3 linked regions of the Saccharomyces cerevisiae S288C genome follow. The gene in region 2 interacts genetically with the main gene of each other region. Each region holds a gene or a part of one and is shown on either strand. Other genes may lie near its edges. The genes, in order: RTT109, LTE1 and NUM1.

Region 1 (3,583 bases), on a different chromosome or scaffold from region 2:
TGCAGGAATTCCCCCCACTCATCTGCATGATTTCTTTCCTTGCCCCTATACTCCAAGGGCTTCGTACCAGCTTCGAATCCTGATATTTTTGTAACTTCATCATGTGGATTAACTGAGTTATCATCTTCCTCTATTAGAGGAGAATTTGGAGATATGTTATTAAGTTGAAGAACTAACGGTCTTCTTGTGACAATACCAGTACCCCTAGGTAAAAAATCTCTTCCAACTAACGTTTCCAATATCGAGGATTTCCCGGAGGATTGTGACCCAACAACAGCTAAAATGGGCAAATCGAGTGTATCGATCCCGGAGTCGTACATAACATCCTGCAGCTTGTTGACAGTAGGAATAAGATCTTCTAAACTAGCCATTCTTTATCCGTCGTATTTAGATTCGCTGGTAGCTACTTAATGATAAACTCTTTAGCAAATTGTGGCCAACCTGAGCAGTAGAGTAAAGGTAATATTTCATCCTACCCTCTTATTTATTGTTCCCACACTTTGTTTTGCCCGACCTTACAGGCGTGCACCGCGTAGTAAAAGTTGAGGACCTATCATTACCTAGAAAGGTGGCGATCAAGGTACTAACAATAAATACAAACATGCATTTTCTAAGATCGATGCTACATACGTGTACTAAATAATAAATATCAATATGTATCAAGTTTTAGGCAAGGCTTTAGCTTTTTTACGCGGTTTTAGCATTGTTATCGCCAACGTGTTGATGTTGCTTGCAGGAACCGGCTGATTTCTCTCCCGATGCTCCCTCTTCCCTGTTAAAGATTGAAGATTTGTTGCCATTCTGAGCAATAGAAAATCACGAATATTGGTGAAAGCTTCTATTGCGCCTTCCTCTGTATCGTATTCCTCTCCAGTAATGTACTTCTTGATTGCCCTAAACTGCTTCCTTGACTTCGGTACAATAACATCGGCACTAGATGGAAATAAAGATGGAGTGGCAAGAGAGTATCCCGAAATACCCATTACAGATGATGTGACACTTAATTTGAACTCTTGACGCTCTTGTAGTTCAATCCAGAAGGATGATAAGCTTACTTTGAGGAGGCGATCTTCCTCTGCCAATTGGTGTATAAATCTAGCCTTAGGATCGTCTGGGAATAATGGAATATTATATACCGCAAGAGAATTTTCTTTAGAGGTAAATATATCACCCACTTGCCATAGTGGATATTTCATCCCTCTTAGGTATGATCTTACTCGAGCAGGATCTTCGCCCGGTATCCTTAATTTTGCTTGTGTATCATTTTGAAAGCATTCAATTAGTAATCTATCCAAAATAAAGCCCCACCATTTCATTAGTTCCTCGCCATTTAGTATATGCTTTTTGCTGTTTTTTGAAGAATCTGGGAAGAGGTACTGGGATGCAGGTCTAGTAAATAAACAAATTTTGGTCAAAATCTCACGAGGACAGGTGAATGAGAGATAAAGATCTTGTTGAAAACGTGGAGATTCTATTTCTTTCAAAACGGTGCTGCCTGACTGTTTAAGCCTTCTAGCCAAAATCCTTAAAGTTCTTGCTGGCGTACTGGCTGCGCTAATCAGCTCGGGGGATATCTTCTTATATGATCTTATTGCCGGTTTTACTTTTTGAAGATAGTAATTCGGGTCGATTGATAATATAAATTCTAATATTATTTTTGTAATATCTCTAACGCTTACCCTCGTATTACAATAACCATTAGTGTCTGCCTTTGATACAAATATTAACCGTTCGGCATCTGCTTCATCCCAAAGCGTGACATACACATACACTTCTAATGAAAAAAAAACTTTTCCTTGGTGAAATAGACTAAAGAAGTGTTGAGTCTTGATCGTGCTTTTTGGGACCCTTTTGTCGTCCTTATTTGGGGTTACGACAGCATGGGTTTCTAACGGAATAGATTGCAACGATAAGTATTCAAATTGTTCACTGACAGGTAGCACGGAACTTAGGAAGTCATTCAGTGACATGTCTTATTGAAGACCGGTTGAATTGACCTTTTAACTCTACTGGACAACTCTATTGACAAACTGTAGTTTGTTAAGTAATGCGTTATGGCGTCCATTTTCCATTATAGCTTACAACGCGAACACGAAAAGTATAGTATGTTGTGATGTTTTCATAGACCTGGAGAATATTATTAGTAATTGTATGCATCTCAGAAGCAAGAAAGGTTACGACTACATATGCACACATACATACGTACATAATATATATATCTATTGACGTTTACGACTTAACGGGGATTTATCATGCTCTCTTATATAATCCATATCTTGATCGATTTTAGGAGAATTGGCGCTTAGGCTAAAAGGTACAGCGGGTATTCTGCCAAAATCAATATGGTCAACTTTGGATGGCATGTTTCTAGTGGTACGCCTAGGAGAATACCTTAGAGGTTTTCCTCGCGTCGGAGATCCGTTTAAGCCTGTCGTACTTTCAAGGTTGATCTGTTTTTTAGCTGTAGAATCAAGAACACTGGAAGATTTCACCGGACTTGGTATGGCTCTTCTTGCCCTGCTATAATGCGACTTCATCGCTTCCATTCTGTGCTGCTTTATTCTTTCTGAGCCTGGTATGGTTGAGGCGTTTTGAGAGTCTGATCTTATGGGAGTTTTTAGTTCATGTTTAAGATTGAAGTCCTTCCTTCTCTTTGGAGAACTGTCTGAACGATTTTTCCATAATAATAACAATCCCCTTACAGTGGCCCTGTCCCACCGATGACGAAACACCTCGACTGTCTCATCATTACGCTTAATTTTTAGGAATCGAAGACTCCACATTTTCAAGAATTTGGATGTAATTATGAATTGTTTATTAGCTTCCGATTGTTCCAATAATGTACTCATATAAAATATTTCGTCTAGATGAGTTTTCCAAATATAAAACGTCTTGACTAACACAAATTCTTCGCGAACTTCGTCTGCTAATTCTTCTGATTTTACTATCTCTAAAAGTCTTTCTCTAAATTTCTTCAGCACCATTTTTTCAAGCTGGTAGTTTCTCTTTGAAATAGCCTGAATGTTACATTCTTCTGTGTAGAAGCAAAATCTATTTCGCCAAGCGTTGAACAGTTGGCTTTGAAGTTCGCGCTCTTTACTCTTTTCATAAACGTGTAAAATATCGTTTAACTTATGCCTGACTTTGAACCTTGTGGCTTTCCGCCACTTTAAAAAGGCCTTAGAAAGCTTTACTCTATCCATAGAGGGCGCCAGTTTCGTATATAGCAAATGAACATTATCAATATGCATTAGCGTCCGTTTTACAGTCAAAATTGCATGTGTCTTACATAAGAAATTGTATCTATCCTCCAATTCCTTAGTTTTAATCAGGCGTTCTTTCCATATAGCTAGACACTCATTTACGAGACCCTCTTCGTAAAATTTGGATGCTTCGTCATTCATAGAATTCATTTGTAGCATCCTCCTTTTCCACACACCAAGATATTTTGCACAAAATGCCGTTTTAACATGTTCGCTCGATATTTTCCCATACTGTATTCTTTTCCTCCATGTACGATACGCGCTTGCTTGAATACTCTTTTTACATTTCTGCTCAAATATTTTTAACTTTACTTCAAGTT
Region 2 (3,837 bases):
TTTTTCTCATCTAAAGACTTGGTATCTTCAAATGTAAACTCTCTTAGATTTAAAAATCCAGTTTTTGTTTTTAGAGTTGGACTATCTGTATTATTCACGATGTTTCTGACTTTTCTTGACTTTTTCGTTACAGTATCTCTGGGTGGAGAGCTGGATGACAACTCGGAATCGTATGAGTATGTTATTGATTCTGTGTCTTCCCTACTATCGTTTAAGGGAGACGATTCTTTAAGATCAGGTAGAACATTTTTCAGAGGCGAAGAAGTCATGCTTTTTTGGGATTGGGAATGATTTTTCCTCCTTGGTGTCATATTTGTAATCGCTTCTGAGTTGGTTTTATCAGTTTCATGGAATAACAATCTTTGAGGTCCATTCTCGTCTGTACGTGAAGAACTATTATCTTTATCAAAGAGCCTCATACTTTCTGCTGAGTAGCTACCGTGCATTTTATTGTAATATGCTGTCGTGAGACTTTTTACTTTCCTTCGTTGCAGTGCATCATACGAGGGTGATGGCTGCATATTCGATTCATTGTTCTGCAGTTGCTTGTTTAAAGTATTAGTTAAAGAGATGACTGACTGAGCAATTGAACTTACGGTTTGATACAGATCCAAATTGTCCATAGCGCTAAAATTATCATTACTCGGTTTAAAGCTATTTTGTTGTAAAATCTTTATATCATGTATGTGTTCCCGACGTTCACAATCAACATTAACTGTAGGACCTCGGTTGTTATTCGAATGTGTTTGAACTTTTTCTATCAGCTGGTTTTGTAAATGCAGTAGGGACTCCACTTCATCTATGGTTCTTGCACTTAGGATGTCAAATTTAGAAGAATCAGAGTTAAGAAACTCTTCCTCTTCTTCCTTGGAAGATTTTCTATTGAGAGATGATATTGATACAACGTATTTGACAAACGCATCCATTTCAGGTTTCTGGTTTGCTGGTTTAATAGCACTCATAAATTTTTTATCATTACTGCTATCATGGCGATTATGGTTTTTCATCCACTTAGCTAAAAGACCAATAGCGCTGCGATGTAACACAGACATTGAAGATGTATTAGATCTACTATTACTGTTGCTATTGTTATCTAGAGATGATGTCGTCGATGTACCTTGAAGCGTTCCGCTTTGTTCATTTAAATCTTCAGGAATATATAAGGAATTCAGAATAAATTCAACTTTTTTAGCCGGTGTTGGAGGCATTATTTTATCGACTGCATATGATGACGGGTAGTCTACGCCTTTCATTAGTGTGGATACTAGAGTGACTTTTGACAAGTGGCTGATCTTTTGTTTACTATCTGACATGTCCTCGCTTTCATTATCAACTGAAGGTTCTTTCGCTATTCGGTGCTTCGAGTAAACATTTGATGTATTATCGGGAAATAAAAGCATAGAAGGGCTTCTCTGGTTTTTGGAAGAATTTGAAGACTGTAGCTTCTCCGGCAGTCTAAATACATCAGAAGTTTTATATAATGATAAAACGCTTTGGTTACGAAAATCAGGACTGGCAAAACTTTGCCTGGCGTAAATGCTCAGTCGGCTTCCTCTTTTGTGTAGGCTTTCTAGTTGCGTGAAATCCTTTAACGAATAATGCAGCCATGCATCAAAGTCTAATTTATCAGGTTCATTTAGTTCAATATTCTCCCAAACCAACTTAGAACAATGCACCCAGTTTTTTTTCAGATTGATTATACAGCTGGAAATTATTTTTGGGTACTGTTCAATGTGTTTGTCGTTTAGAAACTCGATCAACCGAAGTCTTAATGTTATGTTCGGTAAAAAATCTTGCACAAAATAATTCAGTATGGAATGCCTCAACAACACAAACGTCCTCACGAGGGCAACTTCACCAATTCGCCTTCTCTTAGCTTTTGCAGCATTTGTTGTGATCTCCCTAATACACCATCGAAATCTATAGATGAGTAAGTCGTGTAAGTCTTGAGGCGTTATAAAATTCCTATAAATAAGGAAAAAATCTGCAGATGCGTTGTAGTCTACACCTTCCAAAGGGGAAGAAAGGTGTACAATTAACGCGGGCAGGTCTGCACTATTCACTGGTTTGGATACACAATCGCTTTCATAGCTAATAACATTTGAGGATGGAGTCGGGTAGTAATCTTTCTGGCTAAATATTTCCATGGTTCAGGGTAGCGAATCTTTGAATGGCTAGAGGCTATGTAAAGCAAACAAAAAGGTTCGCGTAAATCAACGAGCGAATAACACGAGTACGGTTGGGGTGGGCTAAAGGGTTCAAGAAATTATCAGTTTCTGTTTACAGTTTTTTTTTCATTGTTGATAAAAAGATCAAGAATTTCATTATTCGCGAAAATCAAAATGCAGAAAGGAAAAAATAGAAGGGTAATAAAACAGCATCGGATCGCAAAGATGAGTAAGGAGAACAGCCTGGTTAACAATTAAAGAGTGTTTATCGAAATTCATTATATAGTGGTTTATATAGACCACTTCTTCTGCTGGTTGATATAGAAATTTTATTTAATTCTTGTTTTTTACTTATGTACTTACTACGATGATCTTAATTCATGCTTCTTGCTTGTCGGCAATGTCCCAAGTGGAAAACCAGTTTAAGTAGCGGAAGTTACTACTTGGTCCCTCCATACCAAATGATATTGGGGAGAAGTACCAGAAGCAACCAATTACAAGTGCCATGAATCCGGCGTATAGGACGAACCGCATGATACGGCCGCACTTAGATCTGGACCATTTTTGCAAACCGGCGTCGAAACAGTACGCCAAAATGATCAGTGCAAAATACAAGGCAGGCAAGTAATGATGAACGTAGGTGACTCTAGACATGATAACGAATGGCATGTAGTGTAGGCCCCAAGCTAGTAGTGGGTAGAACCCGCCCATTAAGAAAACGTTCCAGTTAGATGGATTTCTTAGGTCCACATATTGTCTTTGCCATCTGATCAGTAAGATAACGACCGTGGCCATGAATGCGAGGACGGCAACACTAGAAGCCCACGTGGAAGCTGGGGTACCCAATAGGAAGTATTTTGGATTATCATCACCCCAGCCACATAGTCTCAAACCCACATTCAAAGTTGGCCATTGCCATGCTGAGGAAGCTAAGTAATCAAATTTGTCTGGATCTGGCACCAAAGCGTTATTAGTGGCCATCATGGCTAGATTTAAATGAATGAAGTCTTTTAAGAAGTTGGTCTTTGGGTATTGAAAATCTTCGGGTCTTGGTGGCAACCTTTCATTTTCGTGGGTCTCGATGTTCCACCAGGTCCTCTTGTCCCTCTTGAATGGGTTTTTCATGCAGACAACCTCTTGTTGTCTGAAACCCCATTCGGGCAAACTGTTACCGGTTTGAGCCAAGTAACAGCCCATCTCCAAGTTCTTGATACGGAAAGAGGTGGTCAATGTGTGCAACTTCTCAGGGTCTTCATCTCCTCTTTGGTCCATGATCTCAATAACCCAATTGTCTTTGTTGTCACCAACAACATTGTCACCGTAACCAGAAACCTCCCATTGTGTCTTTGACACTGGTGCAGCAACTGGGTGGGTGTGCAAGTTTCTGCCCGTGCTTTTGTGTACCAATCTATAGGAGGTACCTGGCTTCAAATACTCGATGTCAGTTTCGTTTTCTGACCATGATGGTAAGCCTCTTTCTCTGTTGAAAAACCATTCGTTGTTAGCATCTTTGTAACCATAACAGGTTACTTGTTGTTGGTTGGACCCATCTGGATAAGTTTGTATATGTGAGTGCAATAGAGATCCTCCAAGAGCTTGGTTTTTGATGGAAACAACGGAGGAACCTAGAGCAATGTCACGGGGGCCTTGTCCGACGTCAGAACCCACT
Region 3 (3,600 bases), on a different chromosome or scaffold from region 2:
CGTAGTCTTCTTTTTTGAGTAATAAATAATCTGATGCAGAAGCTTTTTCTCTTAGAAAGTCTATCGTTGGGTTCTTTAAACCTTCTAAGGCTTTAGTATCAATCAGCACTTGGTCGTATTCTTTTGCCTTATCTGACAGGTATTGTTTCGAAGGTGTTTCTATCTTATTAACCATTGAAAAATACAGATCATTACTTAGCCATTTACAGCCGTTTCTCTCCTCCAGCCATTTACAAATATTCGATTGTAAGTCGTTCTTTGCTTCCAGGCATTTTTTCATTTGTTCAATTGATGGATTCTTGACACTCTCAAAAAGGTCATTATAATCTTTGGTAGGTATTATCAGGCAATCAATTTTGGATGTTAAAGGCAGTAAAAAATCAATAGTAGGCTCTTTTAACAAGTTAAACGTACTTTGATCGATGGGTATCTTTTTCAAAGCCTGAAGTTTTTCCTTGAGATAGTTATATGATGGATTTGATAGGGATTCGTTTAGGTTCTCAAACTCCTCTAGAGGAAGAACTTTATAGCCAGAAGCTTCTAAATATTTAATATGAGATTCTAACGAAAACTCTTTTTTGCTGTAATTGTCATCATTTGGTAACGCGATCATATTCAGGTTTTCAGCCACCTCTTTGGTCATTAATTCATCGTCTTTTGGTTTGGATGCACTTTCACTTTTTTGTAGTAAGTTTTTATATGAATCATTCGATAACAATATCATATTGTTTTTTTCTGAGTATTTCTTGACAAGATCTTCAGAAATGTCCTCGACAGAGGGGCCTGTTTCAATCATGTGGTCAATTTCGATCACTATATCAAAAATGTCTTCTTCACTAGTGGTCCCCTCAGAATCAGGATCAGATGTTACTGTAGTATCGGAAGTATGCTGTTTTTGATAATACTTCTTTTGTACTTTTCTTTTTAACGAAGAAATAGATGCTTTGGCGTCATCAAGTTGCTTTTGAATTTTTATTCTTTCAGTTCTATTGCTCTGTAAGGAATTAATTTCACTTGTTAGATCAGAAACACTAATAAGTAATCTGTCGTTTTCATTATTTAAGTCTAAAATCCTTTCCTTTAATTCACTAATCTCTTTATCGTAATGAAGTTTTTGAGAGCTAAGATCATTTTCCATGCCATTTTTTGTTAATGTTAAAATTTCCAAATCTGTTTTCAGAAGTTTCAGGCTTTCTTTTTCATCATTCCAAGATTTTTCAGTCTTTTTCTTCAATTCTTTTAATTGCCTACATTCCATGCTCAAGTTTGTTAATTTAGATTCTAAATCCCAGTTTAAATCTTTAGTTGAATCCAACTCTTTCATGAAGGACTTTTTTTGGTTAGTGAGCTCCTCAATCTTGTCACTTAATGACTCTTTAATTTGCTTGAGAGACTTGATTTGCTCATTTTTAGCTTCATTAGAGGATTGCAATTTCCTACACTCAACCAACAAATTCTCGCTTAGTTCCAAAGTAAAGTTCATATCCTTTGATGAATTCGCCGTGAGTACTCCATTGTGGGAACTACTGCCTGCAAATTCCGGAAGCACGTCTTTTGTCTCTCTTTTACTCAAAATACTTGAAATCGAAAACCGCTTTGTTTTATCTCCTTCATCACCACTGCCGCATTCATCAGCCTTTAAGTTAGCCATCCTTGTTACGCCGTTCGTTGAGACGCTTTCCTGGCTTAATGAATTGTCAATGCTATTTGCATACTGCCCTGCTGAGCTGTCTTTATCGTTATTCTTTTTATGCCTGTTGTTGTGGGACATATTCGAACGTCTCGTGGAAAGCCTTGACCGTTGCGTCTTTACTCGTCTCTATTCAACCCTGTGGTCCTATTAGAACCGATCTTTGTTCCATCGTCATTACTACTTCTTGTCTCTTCTCTCTTGGGGAATAATAAACAAAACAATTCCAGCCACCCGCATCTCCGTCAAAGACGATATTAACAACCCTTTTTTTGCAGCCAATCAAAACTAAGGTCCTGCCCGGAGTGAGCCAATAAAGCGGCCACAAATTACGCAGGAATCTATGGTTCCTAAAGCTTATTCTTATTCTACATTAGCACCATTCTACTACAGGGCTCGGATCCACACTTGGTCTATCAGCAAATGCAAATCCTTTTTCCCTCAACTAGGCCTACTTTTCATATATAATCTCTTTTTGAGCTTCAGGGGAGGAAATATCTAACGTAAAAAAAAGAAAAATCCGAAATAAAAAATTAGGCAGCTATCTTTAACGGTATATATCAGTGAATAGATATATTGTTATAAACTTCACTACCACATTTGTTACAACCAAAGACACAACTTCAGATAATTATTTAAACAATGCTTTCCAGAGCGACGCGTACTGCAGCTGCCAAATCCTTAGTAAAATCTAAAGTGGCTAGAAATGTTATGGCTGCTTCTTTCGTCAAGAGACATGCTTCTACAAGTTTGTTCAAACAAGCTAACAAGGTCGAATCCTTAGGTTCAATATATTTATCCGGCAAGAAAATTTCAGTTGCGGCGAATCCGTTCTCCATAACTAGCAATCGTTTTAAATCTACCTCTATTGAAGTTCCTCCGATGGCAGAGTCCCTGACTGAAGGCTCTTTAAAGGAATATACTAAAAACGTTGGTGATTTTATTAAGGAGGACGAGCTGTTGGCCACTATTGAGACCGATAAAATTGATATTGAGGTCAATTCGCCAGTATCAGGTACTGTTACGAAGCTAAATTTCAAACCAGAGGACACTGTCACTGTTGGTGAGGAGTTAGCTCAGGTCGAGCCTGGTGAAGCACCTGCTGAGGGTTCTGGAGAATCTAAGCCAGAGCCTACCGAACAAGCGGAGCCATCGCAAGGTGTCGCCGCAAGGGAAAACTCAAGTGAGGAAACGGCTTCAAAGAAAGAAGCTGCTCCAAAGAAAGAAGCCGCTCCAAAGAAAGAAGTTACAGAACCAAAAAAGGCTGATCAACCAAAGAAGACCGTCTCTAAGGCGCAGGAACCCCCAGTAGCCTCTAACTCTTTCACACCATTTCCACGTACAGAAACCAGGGTCAAAATGAACCGTATGAGATTGAGGATTGCCGAAAGATTAAAAGAGTCTCAAAACACTGCTGCTTCCTTAACCACATTCAACGAAGTTGACATGTCAGCTTTGATGGAAATGAGGAAACTGTATAAAGATGAGATTATTAAGAAGACCGGTACTAAATTCGGATTCATGGGTCTTTTCTCCAAAGCATGTACCTTGGCCGCCAAGGATATTCCAGCCGTCAATGGTGCCATTGAAGGTGACCAGATTGTTTATCGTGATTACACAGATATTTCTGTTGCTGTGGCCACTCCAAAGGGTTTGGTTACCCCCGTCGTTCGTAATGCAGAGTCATTGAGTGTTTTAGATATTGAGAACGAAATTGTTCGCTTGAGTCATAAAGCGCGTGATGGCAAATTAACCCTAGAAGATATGACGGGTGGTACTTTCACCATATCTAATGGTGGTGTTTTTGGTTCATTATACGGTACTCCTATCATCAATTCACCACAAACAGCCGTCCTAGGCTTGCATGGTGTCAAAGAGAGACCTGTCACTGTTAATGGACAAATTGTCTC

What was found.
Region 1: mutations in LTE1 (region 2) and RTT109 impair growth when combined (synthetic growth defect), as found in Saccharomyces cerevisiae (5 studies listed by BioGRID, with this or other methods).
Region 3: mutations in LTE1 (region 2) and NUM1 are lethal when combined (synthetic lethality), as found in Saccharomyces cerevisiae (3 studies listed by BioGRID, with this or other methods).

The regions. Positions count from the first base shown.
Region 1 is NC_001144.5:144,678-148,260, reverse strand, and holds RTT109 (H3 histone acetyltransferase RTT109), read right to left. Parts: upstream 1,971-3,583; coding exon 660-1,970; downstream 1-659. Other genes in the region: dynamin-related GTPase DNM1, read right to left, coding at 1-371; SFI1 (Sfi1p), read right to left, coding at 2,220-3,583. UniProt on the Saccharomyces cerevisiae protein: Histone chaperone-dependent acetylase that modifies 'Lys-9', 'Lys-14', 'Lys-23', 'Lys-27', and 'Lys-56' on histone H3 (H3K9Ac, H3K14Ac and H3K23Ac, H3K27Ac, and H3K56Ac) to promote nucleosome assembly, genomic stability, DNA repair and transcriptional regulation during mitotic S-phase.
Region 2 is NC_001133.9:103,726-107,562, forward strand, and holds the start of LTE1 (mitotic regulator LTE1), read right to left. Parts: upstream 2,148-3,837; coding exon 1-2,147. Other genes in the region: dolichyl-phosphate-mannose-protein mannosyltransferase PMT2, read right to left, coding at 2,547-3,837. UniProt on the Saccharomyces cerevisiae protein: GDP-GTP exchange factor for TEM1, a Ras-like protein, component of the mitotic exit network (MEN).
Region 3 is NC_001136.10:753,799-757,398, reverse strand, and holds the start of NUM1 (Num1p), read right to left. Parts: upstream 1,772-3,600; coding exon 1-1,771. Other genes in the region: KGD2 (dihydrolipoyl transsuccinylase), read left to right, coding at 2,333-3,600. UniProt on the Saccharomyces cerevisiae protein: Controls nuclear migration. NUM1 specifically controls the interaction of the bud neck cytoskeleton with the pre-divisional G2 nucleus. Functions in dynein-anchoring.